Drosophila melanogaster: one gene and its partners. The protein of the gene in region 4 interacts with the protein of the main gene of each other region in a pairwise test. Each region holds a gene or a part of one and is shown on either strand. Other genes may lie near its edges. The genes, in order: DNAlig1, CG14625, Yp1 and Dip-B.

What was found.
Region 1: the proteins of Dip-B (region 4) and DNAlig1 interact in a two-hybrid assay, tested with the Drosophila melanogaster proteins (one large-scale study listed by BioGRID).
Region 2: the proteins of Dip-B (region 4) and CG14625 interact in a two-hybrid assay, tested with the Drosophila melanogaster proteins (one large-scale study listed by BioGRID).
Region 3: the proteins of Dip-B (region 4) and Yp1 interact in a two-hybrid assay, tested with the Drosophila melanogaster proteins (one large-scale study listed by BioGRID).

The regions. Positions count from the first base shown.
Region 1 is NT_033778.4:23,888,939-23,893,716, forward strand, and holds DNAlig1 (DNA ligase 1), read left to right. Parts: upstream 1-1,573; 5' UTR 1,574-1,657; coding exon 1,658-1,674; intron 1,675-1,731; coding exon 1,732-1,794; intron 1,795-1,849; coding exon 1,850-2,140; intron 2,141-2,200; coding exon 2,201-2,833; intron 2,834-2,888; coding exon 2,889-3,514; intron 3,515-3,567; coding exon 3,568-4,181; 3' UTR 4,182-4,237; downstream 4,238-4,778. Other genes in the region: DCP1 (decapping protein 1), read right to left, coding at 136-1,254; Upf3, read right to left, coding at 4,238-4,480, 4,537-4,778. UniProt on the Drosophila melanogaster protein: DNA ligase that seals nicks in double-stranded DNA during DNA replication, DNA recombination and DNA repair.
Region 2 is NC_004354.4:1,197,747-1,203,673, reverse strand, and holds CG14625 (uncharacterized protein), read right to left. Parts: upstream 4,129-5,927; 5' UTR 4,057-4,128; coding exon 4,003-4,056; intron 3,050-4,002; coding exon 2,827-3,049; intron 2,747-2,826; coding exon 753-2,746; 3' UTR 517-752; downstream 1-516.
Region 3 is NC_004354.4:10,051,930-10,056,003, forward strand, and holds Yp1 (yolk protein 1), read left to right. Parts: upstream 1-1,881; 5' UTR 1,882-1,987; coding exon 1,988-2,207; intron 2,208-2,284; coding exon 2,285-3,384; 3' UTR 3,385-3,569; downstream 3,570-4,074. Other genes in the region: Yp2 (yolk protein 2), read right to left, coding at 1-351, 420-654. UniProt on the Drosophila melanogaster protein: Vitellogenin is the major yolk protein of eggs where it is used as a food source during embryogenesis. Along with Yp2 and Yp3, and their receptor yl/yolkless, required for maintenance of microtubule plus-end orientation towards the posterior pole of oocytes.
Region 4 is NT_033777.3:13,780,262-13,786,196, reverse strand, and holds Dip-B (dipeptidase B), read right to left. Parts: upstream 3,910-5,935; 5' UTR 3,746-3,909; intron 3,558-3,745; exon of another isoform or gene 3,503-3,557; 5' UTR 3,370-3,502; coding exon 3,356-3,369; intron 2,381-3,355; coding exon 2,104-2,380; intron 2,037-2,103; coding exon 1,938-2,036; intron 1,881-1,937; coding exon 744-1,880; 3' UTR 521-743; downstream 1-520. Other genes in the region: CG9286 (uncharacterized protein), read right to left, coding at 4,130-4,773, 4,833-4,959, 5,021-5,143; CG9288 (uncharacterized protein), read right to left, coding at 5,529-5,935.

The DNA of each region.
Region 1 (4,778 bases), on a different chromosome or scaffold from region 4:
TCTAGATTTTAAATCTACGACTGCCCTTGTCGGCTTACAGCTATTACATTTTGTAAATTAACTCGGCTTGAACTCGAACTCCATGCGAACAAATGAAAATATGGGCTGCAATTCGGAAATGTTGAATATTTCTGTTTATTGATATGTGGAGCTGGAGTCCAGCAGTAGATTGGAACAGCCGTTCAGGTAGGCCTTGTGCAGCTTGTTGGCAAACTCCTTATCGTTCTGGATAAGGTACGTGAAGGCCTGGACGAACTGCGTCGAGTTCAGCAGTGGCTGCTGTGGCTGCTGTGGCTGCTGTGGCTCCGGATTGCCGTTGTTGGGCGCGTCGAACATGGTGGGCGGCATGAGGGCCGGCCCGGGCTTGTCGCCAGCCAGCAGTCTCCGCAAGCACTTGCCGGCATCGTCGTTGGCCATCAGCGCCGACGAGGACGGGGCGACTGTCGGAGATTGAGCCGTAGCGTAGCTTTTACCGATCTTCAGGTCGCTCAGGAGCTGAATGTTAAGCTGCTGCATCTTCTGGAAGGGCGACAGCCGGCTCTCGTGATTGTCCCTGCCTGCCGGGGGCAACAGATCCTCGCCAGGCGTGGCTGCCCGCTGCTGTTTCTCCAGCTGGTCCACGGAGAGCGGCTGGACGCGGTGGAACAGTGACTCTGCCGTGGCCTGCTTGGCCGATTCGAAGAACTTCAACACATTGCCGGCCGTTACGTTCTCCGCCGAAGGCGTCTTCGGCTGCCCGCCGCTCACCTGGGCATTGTAGTCCTTCTGGGCCTTGGTCAGCATGTTGAATATGCTGGCCGGCTGGCTGCTGTCCTGCTTTGGCTGCTGGGGCGCGGAGACGTGACGCTGGGCCTGGCCATTCGTTCCCTGATCCTTGGACTTGAGCAGCCCGTTCACCAAGCCGCTGATGCGGTCGCACTCCTCGCTGTTGTAGAACCAGAAGCCGCGGATGCGCGAGCGCTCGTTGCGGTAGAGCAGGAACGGCGGCTGCGACTGCAGCTCCAGGCTGCCGGTGATGGGCTCCACGAAGGACGTGGTGTTCAGTCGGTTGTTGATGAAGATGCTGTGAAAGGGCTCCGCGTTGCGGTGGTATATGAAGAAGGCTCCCTCCACATCGGTCTTTTCCCACTCGTTCTGCGACGAGTTGAACGTGTAGAAGGCGACGTGCGAGGACGAATCCACGATCTCCTTGGCGTACGGGTCGATCTTCTTGATGGCCGCCAGGTTCATTCGCGTGATGCTCTCGTCGGCCATTGTAAATTGTATGTAATCTTCAGTTTTGGCTGTGCTATTGCGAATTGCAATTATTTGTGAATTTAACGGCGCTCTGGTCACACTGCCCCGTGGATGTTTTCCCGTGTTTATCAACGACTGTGCTGCGGTCACACCGAATGACAATAAACTCTTCCTTTTGTCTATTAATGATTTGTTTGAGAAATATTAAGTCGATTGACTTGCATATAAAAATGGCCACAATTGTACGTAATAATATTTCTCAATTATGTAGCATAAACATTTAATTTATGTTTACTAATAAAATTTTCAACTTCGATAGCATTTCCATTTCAATATATCGATACTGAAGACCAGCTCTAGAAACTGGCGGGAACTAATTGCATTGCAATTTGTATTTATTTGAACACAGAATTGCCACAAAATGCAAAAGTCTATAACGTAATTTACGATTTAACAAATGCTAAGTATTGCCAATCTAACAATCCCCCGTTTCAGCTCCTTCTTCAAGAAGAAATCCGATGCCACCGACAGCCCCTCGCCGCCCAAGAAAGTTCCTAAGTAAATGGTGCCGCTGTTTTCTTGTTTCATTACTAAATTCCTCGACAAATCATAGGATTGATGCGAAGACCGAACTCCCAGATGAACCCCACATCAAGAGCGAAAGTGCCTCCCCGGAAACTAAGCCCAAGGTAGAACCTATGTCTGTGGATTCCGAGGAGAAGACAAGTCCGGTGAAAAATGTTAAGAAGGAACCAAAGGAAGTCGATGACAAGACCACTGACAAGAAGGTCACAACCATAGGTCTCAACTCCACTGCCGCTACTAAGGAGGATGTGGAAAACTACGATCCATCCGCCGACTCCTATCATCCGCTCAAGAATGCCTACTGGAAGGACAAAAAGGTGTAAGTAGTGCAGGATTTTGAGCCTCCAAGGCGAATTATATCAAAGGAAACACTTTCCAGCACTCCCTACTTGGCACTGGCCCGCACATTTCAAGTAATCGAGGAGACCAAAGGCCGGCTCAAGATGATCGACACGCTGAGCAACTTCTTCTGCTCTGTGATGCTGGTCAGTCCGGAGGATCTTGTGCCCAGCGTCTACCTCAGCATCAACCAACTGGCGCCCGCCTACGAGGGACTGGAGCTGGGCGTTGCCGAGACCACCTTGATGAAGGCCATTTGCAAGGCAACGGGGCGTAATTTGGCTCACATTAAATCGCAGACGCAGCTAACCGGGGATCTGGGCATCGTGGCCGAGCAGTCGCGCGTTTCACAGCGCATGATGTTCCAGCCAGCGCCTCTGAATGTGAGGGATGTGTTCCGGAAGCTACGCGAAATAGCCAAGCTATCCGGTCAGTCGAAAATGGACCTGGTGTACAATATGTTTGTGGCCTGTCGATCGTCGGAGGCTCGCTTCTTTATCCGTTCATTGATTGGCAAGCTAAGAATTGGCATTGCAGAGCAGAGTTTGCTCACAGCGCTGGCCATTGGTTTGGTGAAAAAGAACCACATCGATGATTGCAAGGCTAGCAAGGTGCCGGATGTGTATAAGGATGAAATAGTCGACACCACTTTGCTGTTGAAAACTGCATACTGGTAAGAACTAACTTAAGAACCAGCTAATAATTCAGATGCTAACGAACTTTTGCAGTCAGTGTCCCAACTACGATATCATTATACCGGCCATTCTAAAGTACGATATTAAGGAGCTGCAGGAACGCTGCCCCATGCATCCCGGCATGCCGCTGAGGCCCATGCTCGCCCAGCCCACCAAGGGGGTCCATGAGGTATTTGAGAGATTCGGCGGCATGCAAATCACCTGCGAGTGGAAATACGATGGAGAGCGGGCCCAAATCCACCGCAACGAGAAGGGGGAGATCAGCATATTCTCGCGCAACTCCGAGAACAACACGGCAAAATATCCGGATTTGATTGCCAGGAGCACTGCCTTGCTCAAGGGCGACGTAAAGTCCTACATCATAGACAGCGAAATTGTGGCCTGGGATGTGGAGCGCAAGCAGATTCTGCCGTTTCAGGTGCTCAGCACGCGCAAACGGAAGAACGTTGATATCGAGGAAATCAAGGTCCAAGTCTGTGTCTACATCTTCGATCTGCTGTACATCAATGGCACTGCTCTGGTGACCAAAAACCTGTCGGAGCGTCGCAAGCTCCTGTTGGAGCACTTTCAAGAGGTCGAGGGCGAGTGGAAGTTCGCCACTGCTCTGGACACCAATGACATAGACGAAGTGCAGCAGTTCCTGGAGGAGTCTATCAAAGGTTTGCCCTGCCAACCAACCTAAAAGTTGTTTACTTAAGCTTTATTTCACTAGGAAATTGCGAGGGCCTCATGGTCAAAACATTGGATGAGGAGGCCACCTATGAGATTGCCAAGAGATCCCGCAACTGGCTGAAATTGAAGAAGGACTACCTATCCAATGTGGGCGACTCACTCGATTTGGTGGTCATTGGTGGCTACAAAGGCAAGGGCCGGCGAACTGGAACCTACGGAGGATTTTTGCTTGCCTGCTATGACACCGAAAACGAGGAGTATCAGAGCATATGCAAGATTGGAACTGGCTTCACTGATGAGGACCTGCAAACGCATTCCGAGTTTTTGGGCAAACATGTGACCAGCGCCGCCAAATCCTACTACAGATACGACCCCAGCCTGGAGCCCGATCACTGGTTTGAACCGGTCCAGGTGTGGGAAGTCAAATGCGCGGATCTGTCGCTCAGTCCGATCCACCGAGCAGCCATTGGCATTGTGGACGGAGAGCGGGGCATTTCCTTGAGATTCCCTCGGTTCATTCGGATACGCGACGACAAGAATAGCGAAAACGCAACGGACGCCAATCAGGTGGCCCACATGTACCAGTCGCAGGATCAGGTTAAAAATAATCAAAAGTCGAGCACACAAATGGAGATGGAGGACGAGTTCTACTGACCGGTCTGCTCCAGCCATGTGTACACGATTTATTTAACAATAAAAGTCTGTTATCGCTATTTGACGCTGGTGCTGCTCTCGGAGGATTTGGAGAAGCGACGAGTTTCGAGCTCACACTCCTTCACCTCCTTCGGTTTGGGTTTGTTGCGCCGATTGGGGCGTTTGTTCCTCTTCGAAGTCTTCTCCTCCACCACGGAAGCCTCTCCATCCGAGCCATCTTTGCCGCCTGCACCTTGGGGCAGCTCATCTGATGCACGAATTCGGGCTTTGGGCTGGTAAATGGCAATCGATGGTCGATCCTGTAAACATCAAGCGGGTTAGTAAAATGTCGAGGGGGGTAATAGGTGAGACCCACTTTATTCCGAATGCGCCGCTCCTCTGAAGCTCGAAATTGAGCAGCCTTGATGGCTTCCTCTGCAGTTTCGTGGGCGGAACCTGCTGGCTGCTTGTCTGCGCCGGTTCTTTTTTCCTTGCGACCACCTCTGGCAGCCGGTGTAAAAACCTTGACAGCAGCTTCTGGTGTCTCGGTGTTTTCAGTCGCAGGCTTTTCTTTCGAGGCCTCCGCAGCGTTAGAAGTGGATGGCACGTCCAAACTCT
Region 2 (5,927 bases), on a different chromosome or scaffold from region 4:
TGGCGATTAATCGTCCAAATCTCACGTAACAACACATTTGACACTCTTTTCTGCCATTTACAACAGATTCTTACCCGTACAACTTGTGTTCCTATATAAAACCAGAATGCAAATGCGGTGGATGTACTTCCACCAAGAGAAAGAGTTAAATTGCAAAAGAGGAGGCACTTTTACTGTGACTTACCCAATCCGAGGCTGAATCTCTGGATGTTTCAATCAGTTCGTTCATTGGGTGGATGTGGGCGGCTGCCTTATAATTGTGCGCTAAAATTATTAATTACATCACACACACACACACTCAAACACTCACACCCACACATAGAGCGAAGAAATGAGACGAATAAAAATCGAAACTAAAAAAAAAAAACTGATCAACAGAGGCGGCATTCGCACTTTTCCAAGCAGTTCGAATTTTTGGATAGATATAGAAAATCTAGTTCATGGGGCTATCATGATAATGGAATGAAGTCTTGAGCTATTTAAAAATGTCAATGGATAAGCGATAGTTTTTATTTTAAGTTATTTCATTAATTTGTTTATTGGCGTAATTTGTTATCGTCTGTTTTAGTTGGCTACCACTTCAGCAGTTGGTGGCCATACAATAAATAATCGTACTTACACTTAGATTCTACAAAAAAAAGACAATAGCATATACAATGAAGCATGCTCGAAATTCTGGCATAAAATAAGCTATGAGGGTGGTGGTGGAGTTTTGCGGCTTATTCGATTGATTAATCGAGGGATGGGGTTTACTATTTGGGCGGTGGCCTCAGAGCCAAACTGGCTTCCAAGTCCTTGACCTCCGATGAGCGCAGTTGCTTCTTAATCGCCTCTTGTCTGGGATGACCGCCTCCCCCCCGCTTGCCGCGCTTTCCAGCTCCGGTCCCCGTGTTACTGCCTATGCCAGCCACGCCCCCCGACCCGGCACCGCCTGCTGGTTGACCTCTGACCTTGTACGTGTGCTGATAGCCGTAGCCCTCGGGATTGTTGTTGAACTTCGGACTGTAGCTGTCGTATTCAAGACTCGGGTGCTTGTTGCTGTTGCTGTGCGAGTGGGCGTGGCCATGGGTGTGCTGGTGGGCGTGGCCGTGCGCGTGGGACAACCAGGGCTCATGATCATCTAGTAGGGTTTCCTTCTTCAGCACATAATGATAGGGATAGCCTTCTTCGTTAAGGATTAGTTTTGATTCATTCTCAGTCTCTGCTTCCGGCTCGGCAAAGTAACCGGATGAGGAGTAGCCTTTGTAGTCCGGATGCAGTTCCCCGGATGACCCGGAAGCCTTGAGCTTGTGGCGATATTCCTGCAGAGCTGCCTCTTTACTTTTGTAGGGCAAGGCATTGATGTCATGATAGATTTCCGAATTGAAATACAACTTGTGCTGCTTGCCAGAGTTTGTAAGCCTCTCCTGATCTTCCCGAGAATCACGCTCCCTTTCCCTTTCCCTTTCCCGCTCCCGTTCCACTCGATCTGGAGTGGGAACTACGTGGGATAGATCGAATTCTTCGATGTTCTTGAGGGCCGCACTGTGGTCAAAGTGCTCGGCACTTTTCAGAGGCAAAGTGTAGGGCTTCGAAACCGTCTTCACTGTGGCCGTTTGCAGGGGAGCTCGGGTCTTGATTTTGTAAATAAACTCCACATTCGGACTCAGTTCGTCGACGGGCAAATCGGGGGCCTGATATGCCGTTTCCGTTTCGGACTGAAAGTGCTGAATGGGCTTTGAATTCGTTATTGCCAATGAAGAGCCCCTCAGTTTTCCGGCTATTTGGTGGCTGTGGTGCTGTGGGTGGAGCACCTGCTGCTGGTGGTGATGCAACTGTTGTTGTTTTGTCGTTGGTGGGACCGTATACTTGGGCCTCACTGTACTGCTGCTGTAACGCTTTTCCTCCGAGTGTGAATGCGAGTGCGACGAGGGAATGGAACCGGAATGGAGACCAGATGAGAGCGTCTGCGACTTGTAGTAGGTCTTGGTAATCGGCGGAGGCGGTGGTGGTGGAGGAGGCGTGGCCGTCTCTTGGGGCGTACTTATGATTTTACCTTCGGCCTCTAGTTCCTTCATGTACTTGATCACGGACTTTTCAATCTGTTTCATTATCTCCGATTTGGGAATTTCCGTGGAGGCAGAGACCCTGACTTTTTCCTCGGCCTCGGCCTCGAGATTTCTGTAAATTTGCGGCGGTTGATAGGGGGCGTAGATGTTGTTGTAGTTATTGCTGTACTTGGGACGATAGTGGCGTTCGATGTCTTGCTCTTGGGCCTGGACATGGGACTCGTCCTCGGTTGCGTGTTCGTAGAGTTCATAGCTCCGGGTCACGGGTTCCTTTTCGTAGACTGGCGCAGGCGCTAGGGCGGGCGACGGCGGAGAAGAGGAGGACGACGATCCAGACGAGGATGGCGACGAGGGTCCTGAGGACAGGAGCAGGGCCTGCTGATGCAGTTCCTTCTGCAATTGCATCTCCAGGATCTCCCTATCCCTTCTCTGTTCCTGGTAACTTCTCTGGGTGGTAGGTTGCTGTTCCTTTTGCGCCTGGATGTGGTTGTTGCTAGGGTTCTGAACTTGGCTTTGACCTCGCAGTTGAGTCGGTGGCTGTTTGTAGGCCAACTTGATGGCATTGGCCACATACTCGGCTGCCGATTTAGAGTCTTCTAGGTTGACATACGCTCCGGATCCGGATTCTGCGGTCTGCTTTGGATGCGATTCGTGCTCTGGGCGAACGAGATTTAATTCCACCTGGCCAAAGCTGTAATCTGGGAAGTATACAATGCATGTCGATTGCGGATTAGTGCATACTTTTAGGCTTGCCAAACAAAATGGGACGGTTTATTACCTTTGCTGGGCGCCTCCTTTAATCTGCTTTGTGTAACCGATCCCCGCCTGGAGTAACCACGATCGTCGGAGCCCCTACGGCTAGCTGCCATAGCCAGTTGATCGGGAAAGGCCTTCTCCCCAGTCACCTCCAAAGAGGACACCGCTCCTGAACCTCCCGATCGACGGCGACTGTTCCCAGACGTGCCTGAGGTCACAGTCACGGCACTGCAAAGCGTCGACATCTGTTCAGAGAAATTAGAAAGAATCACAGCTATTTGAAAATTACATAATCGGAGATTCGCATGGCTTACAATAAAAACCGTACATTAAAATAAAATGAGTAAAACGATAGGACAAACAAGGAACCTTGGCCAACTGATGAGTGTGCCATTTCAACGGGTGCTAGTTAGGCGAACTGCCTTAAATTGGCCTCTTCGTTTCAGACTCATTGGCTTGTGCCTACTTCGCAATTAAACTAATTAAACTCCGCCAATTCGCTTTCGCTTTCAAGGAGGAGAAGAGAAAGAAAAGGAGAAGGAGGAGGCGGTTGATAGTCAATTTCTGTATGATTGAGTTGGCGGCGCTCAGTTGGCCAAGTTCAATGGACCGTTTTCCAGAGGAGAGGGCAATGACACACCGGCATGAAAAACCCGCAGCACGCAATTGCGAATCGCCAAATGGATCCTTTTCGATCGAAATGGGAAAAGAATTTGGCGATTATGTATCAAAAACGTAATTCTCAGTCATTCGGGACATATTTTCCCAAAAAGGCTAATCTTTTTGGTCTTTGTTTAAAAATTTGGTGTTATGTTCCGAAATGTAATTTTAGCGGGATAAGCTTCAGCAGTTCATTACTGAAGATTCAAATATTAATGTTTTTAAAAAGTTTTAATTGAGTATTTTTACATATTTTTTTCACTTATTTTCGTTTTTTATCGTAAGATACATTTATATATATTTTTTTACATATTTATTTATATTTTTTACAAATTTATCACTCTTCTTCACTGAATTATTAAATAAAAAAAATCTCATTTTCAAATGGGCTGTTTTTTTACTTCTGGAGATTCTCTCGAGTCCAACATTTATGAATTTTCAAATACATCACTACACTTTGGATCACTGGCCACCAAAAAAAAAGGTACTCCTCGTGAATCGAATTATCCGAATCCTTGGACGTGAGCGCACTACTTACGATGATCAGCAGACACAGGCACCATTGCCGCCGGCTGAGAATGTTTGCTCCCATATGGACAAGGTGGTGCTCCTGATATTGAAGATTACGGAATCGAGATGTGAGCGCTGACATCATGGCGCGCCAGAGTCTCAGCTGGAATTGTTAGCGGCCAGCTGTCGAGGCGAGGCTTTTATAATGATGCGAACCGCTGCAGCGGAAAATTTATGCGAATGTGCGCGCCAAAGAAAAGCGAGAAAAGTGCAAGTGCAAGCGAAGAGAGAGAGACAGTTGGAGATAGAGAAGGGGAGAAAGATCGCTTCACTTTCGATGACAATTCGAATCGTAATAAGCCATCGACGCACAACACGGCGTATGCGTGATAAGTTCGCCCATTATAAGTCGATAAGGTGCAACAGAGAAGGCGATAGGCCAGCACGAAAGAGAGAGGACAACGGGACAACTGGTTTATAGTTTTTAGTTTCTTGGCTTCAGTTTCGGCCTCTGTTTAAGCTGCCACTTTGATGGCCAATTAAGCCATAAGCTAAGCCAAACAATCCCCATTCCACCACAGGCAGTTCAATGAAATGTTTGCCGGCACAGGTGGGTAATACCCGTAATTGACTTGTAAAATCCTCGCCACCGAAGGCATTTATTGGGTTAAACGACAAATAGTGGACAACGGGCAGTAGTCACTAACCCACTCTGGAGTGGAGTCCGGAAAGCAGCAGGACTTTTGCAAGTCCAATGACTCGACAGGGAGCCTTTAGCACCCTTTAAATTAAACTTGAAACAAATCCATTAACACTAGATCTGTCTTATTTTATGTATTCTTAAATTTCCCCATTTGCTGTATTCTCACAGTGTTTACATTGCGGGCAGTCGGTGGTTGGTCGTGGCAGATCTTCACTCGGTGGTTGGCTTCATGGTCACTGATTCAGTGCATAATAATTAACAAGGAGCCCAGACAAACGGAGAAAAGTGTTCGCTGATTTATGATGATTTTACCGAAAGAGCAGCAGCAATTGCCGTTGCCGAAAACCAACAGCGATGATTTCAATTTCGATAAAGAGATCCGGACTTAGAGAACTGGGAGTACGCCTTGGAATAACTTGCCAATTGGCATTTCATTGATTTCCCTTACGTGCTGGCCGGGGATTTCTTTATTGCGGACTATGGCGCTGGCCCACAGGGCGTATGATTTATATTTTAATATTCTGCATGAGAAGCGAAAAACGAAACTGAAACTGAAAATGAAACAATTGCCACACTTAACACTAACGATAATAGCCGTAATAATAAAAGCGAAACAACTTTGCAGCGGCTAAAGCAAAGCAAAACAAAGCTGGCAAAGCGTTTCGGCTCCTCCACATATGTGCAGATCAACAACCTTGTCAGCAGTCGAGTGCGATTGCCATAGGTACATAGATACATATAGCCATGGCTATCCATGCCCCGTTATGCGGCCAAAAACTGCAGAAACTACCAAATCCACTACCAGCTGCCAGCTGCCAAAGAAACAGCTGTGGCAGCCGCACCAGATGAACAGTCTCAATACCAATTGATTTGCCAAGGATTGGGTTTTTAATTCAATTTAACTAATTCAATCAAAGATTTAACTGCGGCTTGAAATGTATCGTAAATGTATTTAAGTTCTTCATCTCATACATCTTCATACACCGATCAGCATTTATTTATTTCTTTAACTTTCCTATTGCCTTTGCTGCACTGTGGCAGCTGCAACGCTTCGACAATGCTGAAAAATGTTATGTTTGTGGATCGGATTGCTTACATCTTTCATCTCCCACCCTGCCACACATTGTAAAGCAATTAGTTGTTTATAGCCGGAGCTGGTATTTTCTTTCAAGATGATCGTTTAGATCTGAAAAGTGACCTCTTCTGCTGCTAAAAAACGCAAGTTCTGGCCAGAGAGATCAGAACTCACT
Region 3 (4,074 bases), on a different chromosome or scaffold from region 4:
CACCGTTCTGCTTCCTGCGCTGCGTTTGCTGCTCCTCGCTGGAACTCCTCTGGCTCTGCTCCTCGTTGGAGTAGTCGGTGGTCTCATAGGGCTGGAGGTTGTAACGCTGCTGGTAGGCCTGCACCAGCTTCCTGGTAGCCTTCTGCACTTGGGTGTTGGTCTCGGGCAGGCCCTGGATGAAGATGGTGACCTCATCGTCGCCGAACTTCTGCTGGCGCTTAACCTTCTCCACCAAAGTGTTCAGGTTGAACTCGATCTTCTGGCCGCGCTCGCCGACAATGTAGCCCCTGATCTGGCTGGGTTCCGGGGTGTAATCGGGCTTGAAGACATGGTTGAACTGGGACAGATGGTCTGCGGGATAGGATAGTGCGTGTAAATATAACATGATTGGTAGAACTTTTAGAGATCCTTGAACTTACAGAGCTTGTCCAACAGCGTAGCGCCCTCCTCCAGGCTCATCTCCTGCAGCTTCTTAAGGGTAACCTCCTTCAGGTTGGGCAGCTCCTCGACTTCACGTGGATTGACCCAGTTGCTGGGCTGCTCCACATTGTCCAGGGAGTTGGATCGGCGACCGGAACGGTTACCAGATTGGGGATTACCCATGGCGACCGCCAGAAGGCAGGCCATAACGCAAAGGGTGCGCAGAGGATTCATTGTGGCTTCCAAGTTCGACTTTTTCAGACACCGTACCAAATTGTACTGCATACCCACTGCTGCGACTCAATGCATTTTATACCCCTTGGAATCGGTAGTCTATACACACTATAATGCACGCGCCGGAAGCAATTGATTTCAGCAACCGATTTCTGGATCAGCACAAATGCATTGATTCGCAGCGTCAGTGATTTTGCAACACTTCTGATGAGCTCTAAAATTTCGTTCCCCTTTTTTTTTTTTTTTTTTGGTTATTAAGTATCCATCGGGTAACAGGTAATGGGAAACTTCTTTAACCAGCACTTTCATAACATAAACAAAAGGTGGTCTGGCCATTAAGGGGCTTGACAGTGGGGGCACGACTTGAACTCATGCACAGGTCAAGATAAAGCTTTTGTTTGAAAAAAATATTTGGCAATTTTGTGAAATTTATGCAACTATTTAAGTGTTTGCCAAAAGAATTGTCTAAATTGTTCTATAAGCAGATAGCACTTTCAGGGAAATGCAAAATAAATATATTATAAATTATAATATTATAAATATAAATATTTACATCTATCGAAATATACATATATTTTTAATAAGTAGAATGAGTTACATGAAATAGCATCGATAAGATCATATATTATAAAACGAATCCCGGATATTAAAATAGAATCTCCTTGAAAAACGTTCCCCTGAATCAATTCATTTCTAAAGTCCAAAAACAAATATAATCTTACTATCTTGCCTTGGAAACTACAAACATTCCATACTTTTCGTATCAATGGCAAACATCTAGGAATCAATGAACTGTATCGGCCTTGAATTGAAAATGCAAAATTATGGACTTTTAATTAAGCAGAAGAAAAGTGCCAAATATAAATCTACTTATAAACAAAAAAAATCAATAAAATGTTGTATATAATAACCAACTAATGCCCATGTTAGATCTATATTTTATGCATTTATTTGATCAAATCCGGTGCACAACTACAATGTTGCAATCAGCGGAGCCTACAAAGTGATTACAAATTAAAATAATCAGGCGGCAGCAGGTGCTGCTAAGTCATCAGTGGGGTCAGCTATAGGTAGGCCCCGTGTCTATTTTGTATGTATACAATTTATTCCGCTATCGATAGCATATACACTCATCCGATTCCCAGGCACCCGAAAACCCTTACTCAGCACAAGTGACCGATTAAGGCCTGAGCCAGCGAAAAGCGAGTCAGAAAATGGGAAATCGCTCAGCGCAAATTGTGGTATATAAACCACCATCGTTGGATTTGGAAGGCCAGTTCAACTCACTCAGTGTTGAAGTCGCATCCGCAGGACCAAATCCCAAATCCGAACCATGAACCCCATGAGAGTGCTGAGCCTTCTGGCTTGCTTGGCGGTCGCCGCCTTGGCCAAGCCCAATGGCCGTATGGACAACTCCGTCAACCAGGCATTGAAGCCGTCGCAGTGGCTCTCCGGATCCCAGCTGGAGGCCATTCCCGCCCTCGACGATTTCACCATTGAGCGTCTGGAGAACATGAACCTGGAGCGTGGCGCCGAGCTGCTGCAGCAAGTCTGTGAGTAATCCTAGATGCAGATAAAAAAAAAAAAAAAAAACATCGAATATTCTATGGAATATATATATCCTTTGTAGACCACCTGTCGCAGATCCACCACAACGTTGAGCCCAACTATGTGCCCAGCGGCATCCAGGTCTATGTGCCCAAGCCCAATGGTGACAAGACCGTTGCTCCCCTGAACGAGATGATCCAGCGCCTGAAGCAGAAGCAGAACTTTGGTGAGGATGAGGTGACCATCATTGTGACCGGACTGCCCCAGACCAGCGAGACCGTGAAGAAGGCGACCAGGAAGCTGGTTCAGGCTTACATGCAGCGCTACAATCTGCAGCAGCAGCGCCAGCACGGCAAGAACGGCAACCAGGACTACCAGGATCAGAGCAACGAACAGAGGAAGAACCAGAGGACCAGCAGCGAGGAGGACTACAGCGAGGAGGTTAAGAACGCCAAGACCCAAAGCGGCGACATCATTGTGATCGATTTGGGCTCCAAGCTGAACACCTATGAGCGTTATGCCATGCTCGACATTGAGAAGACCGGCGCCAAGATCGGCAAGTGGATCGTCCAGATGGTCAACGAGTTGGACATGCCCTTCGATACCATTCACCTGATTGGCCAGAATGTGGGTGCCCATGTTGCCGGTGCCGCTGCCCAGGAATTCACCCGTCTCACCGGACACAAGCTGCGCCGTGTCACCGGTCTGGATCCCTCCAAGATCGTGGCCAAGAGCAAGAACACCCTGACCGGTCTGGCTCGCGGTGATGCTGAATTCGTTGACGCCATCCACACCTCGGTCTACGGCATGGGCACCCCCATCCGCTCCGGTGATGTTGACTTCTATCCCAATGGACCTGCCGCCGGTGTTCCCGGAGCCAGCAACGTGGTGGAGGCCGCCATGCGTGCCACCCGCTACTTCGCCGAGTCCGTGCGTCCCGGAAACGAGAGGAGCTTCCCCGCCGTGCCAGCCAACTCCCTGCAGCAGTACAAGCAGAACGATGGATTCGGCAAGCGTGCCTACATGGGCATCGATACCGCTCACGATCTCGAGGGTGACTACATTCTGCAGGTGAACCCCAAGTCTCCTTTCGGCCGCAACGCACCCGCCCAGAAGCAGAGCAGCTACCACGGTGTCCACCAGGCGTGGAACACCAACCAGGACAGCAAGGACTACCAGTAAGGATGAGTCTGCTTACTCTGGACACCTGGAATGGCAACTACCAAACAACAAACAACCACCCAACCACACAAACACTGTAGTCCCTAAGTTGAACCCATATTGGCCCTTTTCTTGAGATTACCTAAACATTTAACGAGCACATCGCGAAATTCAGCAAATAAACGCTCGATAAAGAGCTTAAAAATATCTATTTTGTTTATCTTAAATCATTTAGGAACTATAATAGTCTAATAGATCATCCCAAAAAAAAGGGAACAAAATCAAAAGTAAATATCGTAGTTTGGTTTTGTAAACTTAGATTTATTTTATTGTTGTCGGTGTTTTTGTGGTGTTGAGGTCTAATCTTCTCCACTTATGGCTTGGGCTCAGATTAGAAAATAATTTGTTTACGGTAATTTGGGGGGAGTATTGCTCATGGGAGGCTGGCGTTATAACAATAAACCTCAACATGAAGCGATAACAATTAGAAATACAGCCAAGAGTTTAGGATCAGGGCTTAGGCGAGAGACTTTTGCTTATTTAAACTTCCACCTATTTAAATAGGATGTTTCCATCTTCTGATTTTTAGTTTCAATCTTCGCTTAGTTAAGTGCACATTCCGAATTGTTAGAAATATTAATACTATATACTTGTTGGTAGCTCTAGCATATCAATGCAAAATATTGTTGGAACCAAGGAGTTCGGGCCAAG
Region 4 (5,935 bases):
ATTATGCAATCACAGCATGAATGAGACACTCTTGACCGAGTTTCCAAAGCCAGGCAATAACGGTACCAAGACACATGCGACAGCTGACAAGCGGGCCCCATCCACATCCCCATCCCCCAACCAAGCCAATCCACGCCAAGTTGCTGGGCCAAGCTCCCGGGAACGGGGCCCAAAGCGAAGAGCATGGCCAAGAAGCGACTAACGGGTTCTAGGCTGTGGGCCAAGCTACAAAAAAAGAAGGCGCTGCAAAGCTGAAGAGAAAAGGCTGCGAAAGGGGAAGAGCAGGAGTACGAGCCATACCGTAGATGGCCAACAAGAGCTCGAAATGCAGGGCACCCGCCAATTATGCAAACAATGCAGCTGGGAAATGCAGTAATAATAAAAAAGAAATAAAAAAGACCGAATACCCACGCGGCTTTCTTGTATACTTAACAAATATATGTAGGGTGGTTATTCTCTATAATGGGATGATATAATGTTTATATTTCCATGTTGATGAATATAATGAGATATTTGCTTTGTAAGCTTAAGGAAAAAAACAAATCATTTTCACATTTATTTGTAAACGATTACCAAATTAGTGACATACATTTATGAATACAATCTGAACTCGGTTTTGCCTTTATTAAAAAACAGTGATGCAGTTAGTAGGATAATATTGTTGGTTAGCTAAGCACGTGGGTGTATAAGTACTGTTTGTGGTGATCGTGTACACATCCTCCTGAATATTAGGTGGACATGATTTACTTCTGCAGATGGGTCTTCACCAGGGAAACAAGAGGGGCAGCTGTGGGCATCGCTGGGTGCTCACCGGCACTGCCGGCGATATCAATATGGGTGTACTTAATGGGCAGCATTGAATCCAACCCGTGTTTGTCCAGTCCAGAAGCCTTAATCATAAAGGCGGCGGGCACCTGGTGACCGCGAGGAGTCCTCACCGACGGGGCATTATTGGCCTGCACCAAATCCTCGCCAATCACCTTTCCAGCGTTAAAAGAGAAGTCACTGGGACGGAGAATGGACACTTCGAAGGGCTCTCCGAAGGCCTGTCCAGCAGCCTGCAGTCTTCTGGCGTGATCCTCCCGATGGGCCACGCTGTTATCGATGGCAATCGACTGACCCTCACCTGCCGAGATGAAGGCGTGACCAGTCAAGGTGGCAATGGTGAAAAGATGCGGATCCGGGAGATTCTGCTCCACGACCAACTCCTTCATGCGGCACAGGGCATCGGTCATGCACATGCGACCCTCGGCATCAGTATTTCCAATCCTCACATGAAGACCAGCTCGCGAGGTGATAACCTCATCGGCCACGTAGCACTCCTCGCCCACGGAATTGCGCACCATGCACAGGGCAGCCACAACATGGATATCATCCGGTTGCAGTTGACTGACCACCTGCATGAATCCAGCGACAGCAGCCGCTCCACACTTGTCGCGCGACATACCGGCCATCACACCACCGGCCTTGATGTCAGCACCACCGGTGTCATAGGTAACACCCTTGCCGACCAGCATCAGAGTTTTTCTCGCCGGCTTTGGAGGCTTGTACTCCAGGAAAATGATGCGACCACGATGACGCTCCACTGCATCAGCAGCCCGGTTTACGGCGGCAAACAGGGGATACTCCTTCTGCAACACCTGGGTGTCACTGATCACATTCACGTTGAGCTTGTCGAACAACGGCTTGATGTACTTCTCCACCTGGATGGGCGTCATGCGCTCCGGGTCCCCAACTCCGATGTCGCGGGCCACAAAGCGACCGGCCTCCAGAATGAGAGCTTCCTGGAAAATAGCTTCGGCCCTTGGATCATCGATCTGGACACTGAGCGTGGTCACACGGGGGTCCTTCAAAGTTCCTGCCTCGCGCAATTGAATGGGCTAAAAAACGTGTTTTAGCACATTGATTGAAATAAAAGTAAACATAATCCATATTACCACATAAAGCTGCTCCAGAGCTCCCAGAACGGTGCAGAGTTCGACCTCGGGGAAGCGCTTAACCTTGGGCACAAACAGCAACGGCGTGTGGAATCCAGCCTGGCAAAGAATACATATACATTTTCTTTCATAATTCACACAATATGTATAGAAAAAAAAAACCCACCTTGAGAACCTTCTCCATGGACCGCTTGGCCGCCTCCTGGTAGCTCCTCACATCGTCGTAGTCGGTGAGCTCGGAGACGGGGGCATAGACCACAGGTTGATCCACGTTGGGCACCTTAAAGCAGGATATGCTGCTGTCGAAGGACTTGTCGAATTTGCGGTGCTCCTCGAAGGTGGCCTTCAGTTCATTGGGAACCGCATTGCGATCGATGATGCACAGGCAGTCGTTGCCGGCCAGACTCATCAGCTTGTTCAGCCGGAGGGTGCATGGTAGAATTCTGGAGGGGCACACGTAGAGTAGAGTTAAAGTGCGCAACGGAATCGTTATTGGTATTCATTAAGAAACATTTCTGGGTGTCAACTAAATGTGCAATAGCGTTTAATTGAATTGAATTTTATCACGTCACATTTGCTTTATTAACTGATGCAGTCGTTCATATTGCATAACAGCCTGTTGCCTTTGTATTTCAATTTATTATTTCAAAAGAAAATGTCCCCACTGTATTAGGAGCAACCATGGCCATGTTTCAGTGTGTTCCCCTTTCGTTTACCCTCATTCCTGGCGCTGGGCTTATCTTAACTCGAAGTGCTATAAAGAATCGCGATAAGCTTTCGAAATGACCATAATCACAAACCGATTTCCAATTTAGAAACAAGTGTACCAAGTATTAGCACAAATGGTGTTAAAGTACTTATTTAGAATATTTGTAATCTTATTCAAGTGTTTCTACTAAATACCAATCCTTAGGTAACTGGGTCTATAATATTTTGGAGAATAATCCTATGTCGCTGACCATTTAATTGTGTTATCTTTTGAAGTGCCCCATATCAAACAATAAAAGTTGATCTATATATATCTGTTTCCAGAAGTAGCAAGAACTCGTTATCTAAGTAATAATGATAAAATTAAGTGACCTCCCCCCTTTAACTTTTATACAGTATTTCGCCAAACATTGTTTTTATTTTGGGAAAAGATAAAGTTTGGAATTTTCATGACATCTATTCCTTGCCGGCAACTAATTAAAACTGATAAACGCTGAGATATGCAGTACTAAAAACATTCTAATTTCGTTTTGGAATTATGGGAAAGGTAAATAAGATAGCAATTGATGGATGCTAAGCGACTAACCCTCACTGTAAAAGATGGCGAATCTTTGAGAGCTTTTCCAATCGGTCGCTAAGCGGTGGCTAGATAACTGATCCGCGCTAACTTAAAACACACCCTCTAATAACTGTTGGTAATAAATACTCACTTTTCGATACCCATGATGAGTACTTTTTCGCAGGCAGCTCACGCGACTTGGTTGATCGGCAAGTGGGGCGTCACTGAACCTCCCTGATGGGAACAAAGCGCTGCAGCTGGAAACTGGAAACTTGGGAGCGGGATCTGGAACGGAAAGCTGGCGATAAGGAGCGATTGTGATAGCTCTCCGCGACGATTTGCAATGTTCTGGCTGGGTGGCCAAGCTTTTTATACATTTTACTAGCGAGCCGGGCTTTAGGTTTTTTTTTTTTAATTGCTACTTGCGTTTTCGAATGAAAACAAATCGCACGAGCGATGAATAATCGCCAGTATGCTCGCTATGTACGTAATTCTAGAACTCGGATATAACTTGTAAACAATAAAGGCAAAGTCTACTCACGTCGCTCGGTCTTCGGAATTGTTATTGTGGGTTCCTCTTGCCAGTCACGTCCACGGTGGATGCAGTTTCTGGGCCAAAACTAACCAGTGGCAAAAAACAAAGGAATGGCAACCAGGTTTTTTTTTCACAGTAGACCAGCCGGCATGTGCGAAGCTTTCAAATGCCGGCCAAGTGACAGCTGTTTGTGGTTTGCCCGCGTTGCCAATTGTCATAAAGGATGTGGAAAGCTTTCGGTTCGAATTTTTGATACTCTTTGTATGGGACTACAAAGAAATAGAAGCTTATCGGTCGTTAGAGACCGGACATTATTACTTCTTAATTAGATATTTGTCGGGGTGTTATATTAAGGCCAAATAACACAGCAGTTTTAAATGTAAAAAATATTTATTCGCCATTAATAAAGCGTTGTATATCGTCAATAAGCTGCGGAAGTTTTTTGGCCTCCAGGACCAGGAGTTTCCTGTAGGGCGTCATCACGGCATCGCCTTCCAGCCAATCGCCAGACATGCCCGAATCGGTTTCAGAGGCCATGGAATACTCGAAGGAGAACTTAGCCCGATCCGAAAGCAACTCATCCTCAGCGTTGGTGTACACGTCCTCGCCCGGTTTGCCCTTCTTCGACTCTTTCCTGTAGAACTTAACCAGCAGCAGCAGAGTGCCAAAGTCGTATTTCATTTTCTTGGCCTTGGCGGCTTCGATTTCTTGCTGCAAACTCTGCAGCAGTGGCACGGAGATCTGGGCAGGGATATTGATAAAGCGCTCGTTGATCAAGAATCCCACATGGCGCTGCTCGCTGTCTAGAATCTCCTTCAACTGCTGCTGAACCTCCGGAGAAGCGTGCGTCTTGGCGCGATCCAGTATGTAGGTCCTTAACTGGGCGATGCTGGGCTGATCCTTTTTGGCGGTCAGGTTCAGCACAGAGGTGATTCCAAAGATGGTGCCATCCTCGACCATGTTGTCGTCCTCCGTTTCGCTTTCGGTGCCCTCGTCGTCGCACTGGCAGATCACACTGCCTATAAAATTTTGGGCTGGAAACAAAAAAAGTTGTGCTGATAGATAGATCAAGATAGTACCTTGGAGTGCTCACCTATGATCAAATCCGCCATTTGGTTGCAGTTGATGTGGGCACGAAGGAATAGTCGCTGCAGGAGTTGAGAGATTCCCTGGGCATCGGGATCTACTGGAGCTCGTCCCTCAAAGTCGATTTGCACCTCCTAGCCGGATATTAATTTTGAAACACATTTGCTTTTCATATTTTGGAGGCACTTAGATTACCTCGTTTCCCTTATAGGCATCTGGATGCGGTTCGTCGTCGTCATCATCCTCGCTGGAACTGGAGACATCCTCGTTGGGGTCCACCTCCATGGTACTCAATTTCTTTTGCTTATTAGCTGACATTTTTAAGATTTAGTTAACGAATTTGGTTTTGTTTCGCTTCCACTAAATTGCCGCCCGAACAGCTGTTTATCGTCCACACGTGTTGCATTGAGTTGCCAACTATTACGGAGCGTGCTGTTAAGTGGGCAGAGTTCTGTAAATGCACCGGAGTTAACAGGCTGTTAAGAAATAAAATTTACTGGAAATTAAATAGTAGACCCGACATTACATTTGACCATAAGTATTAACAAAATTCACAAGTTTCAGAAAATATTATTTGTGGTTTACTGTCAAAATTATTATTATTTAAGTCCTCATTGACTTTGAGCAATATAATATATGTATGAATCATTAATTTAAAATACAAAGGCCTTATAGAAGAAGCACAACAAAACAAGGGTCAAAATCACGCCTGAATCTCCTTATTTTTGTTTTGAGCGTGGTCCCCGGTGGACTCAATTTGAGGTAGACCTTCGTTTTTCGATTTTAGGCGCTCCTCATACTGCTCCTGGGTTAAAAGACTCGCCTTGATTGCATCGCAGTTTTCGATTTTGGGCAGAAGAATGGCGAAGTAGCCGGCTCCCTCGGGGAGTTGCTCCAGAAGCTTTGGCTCCTCCACAATGGCGGTGTTCACCTCTACCAGCTTGCCCCGAATGCAGCTGGGCACCTTGTAAGTCCCTCCATTTGCTGTGGTGAGCAGTGCCAAGGTGGACTCCGCCTGTAGGATCATTCCGCCCTTTTTACCCTTTCCCTTGACCACATTCTGGCTGCGATCTACGTTCCCTATATCAAAGTTGACCGATGAGATGCCTT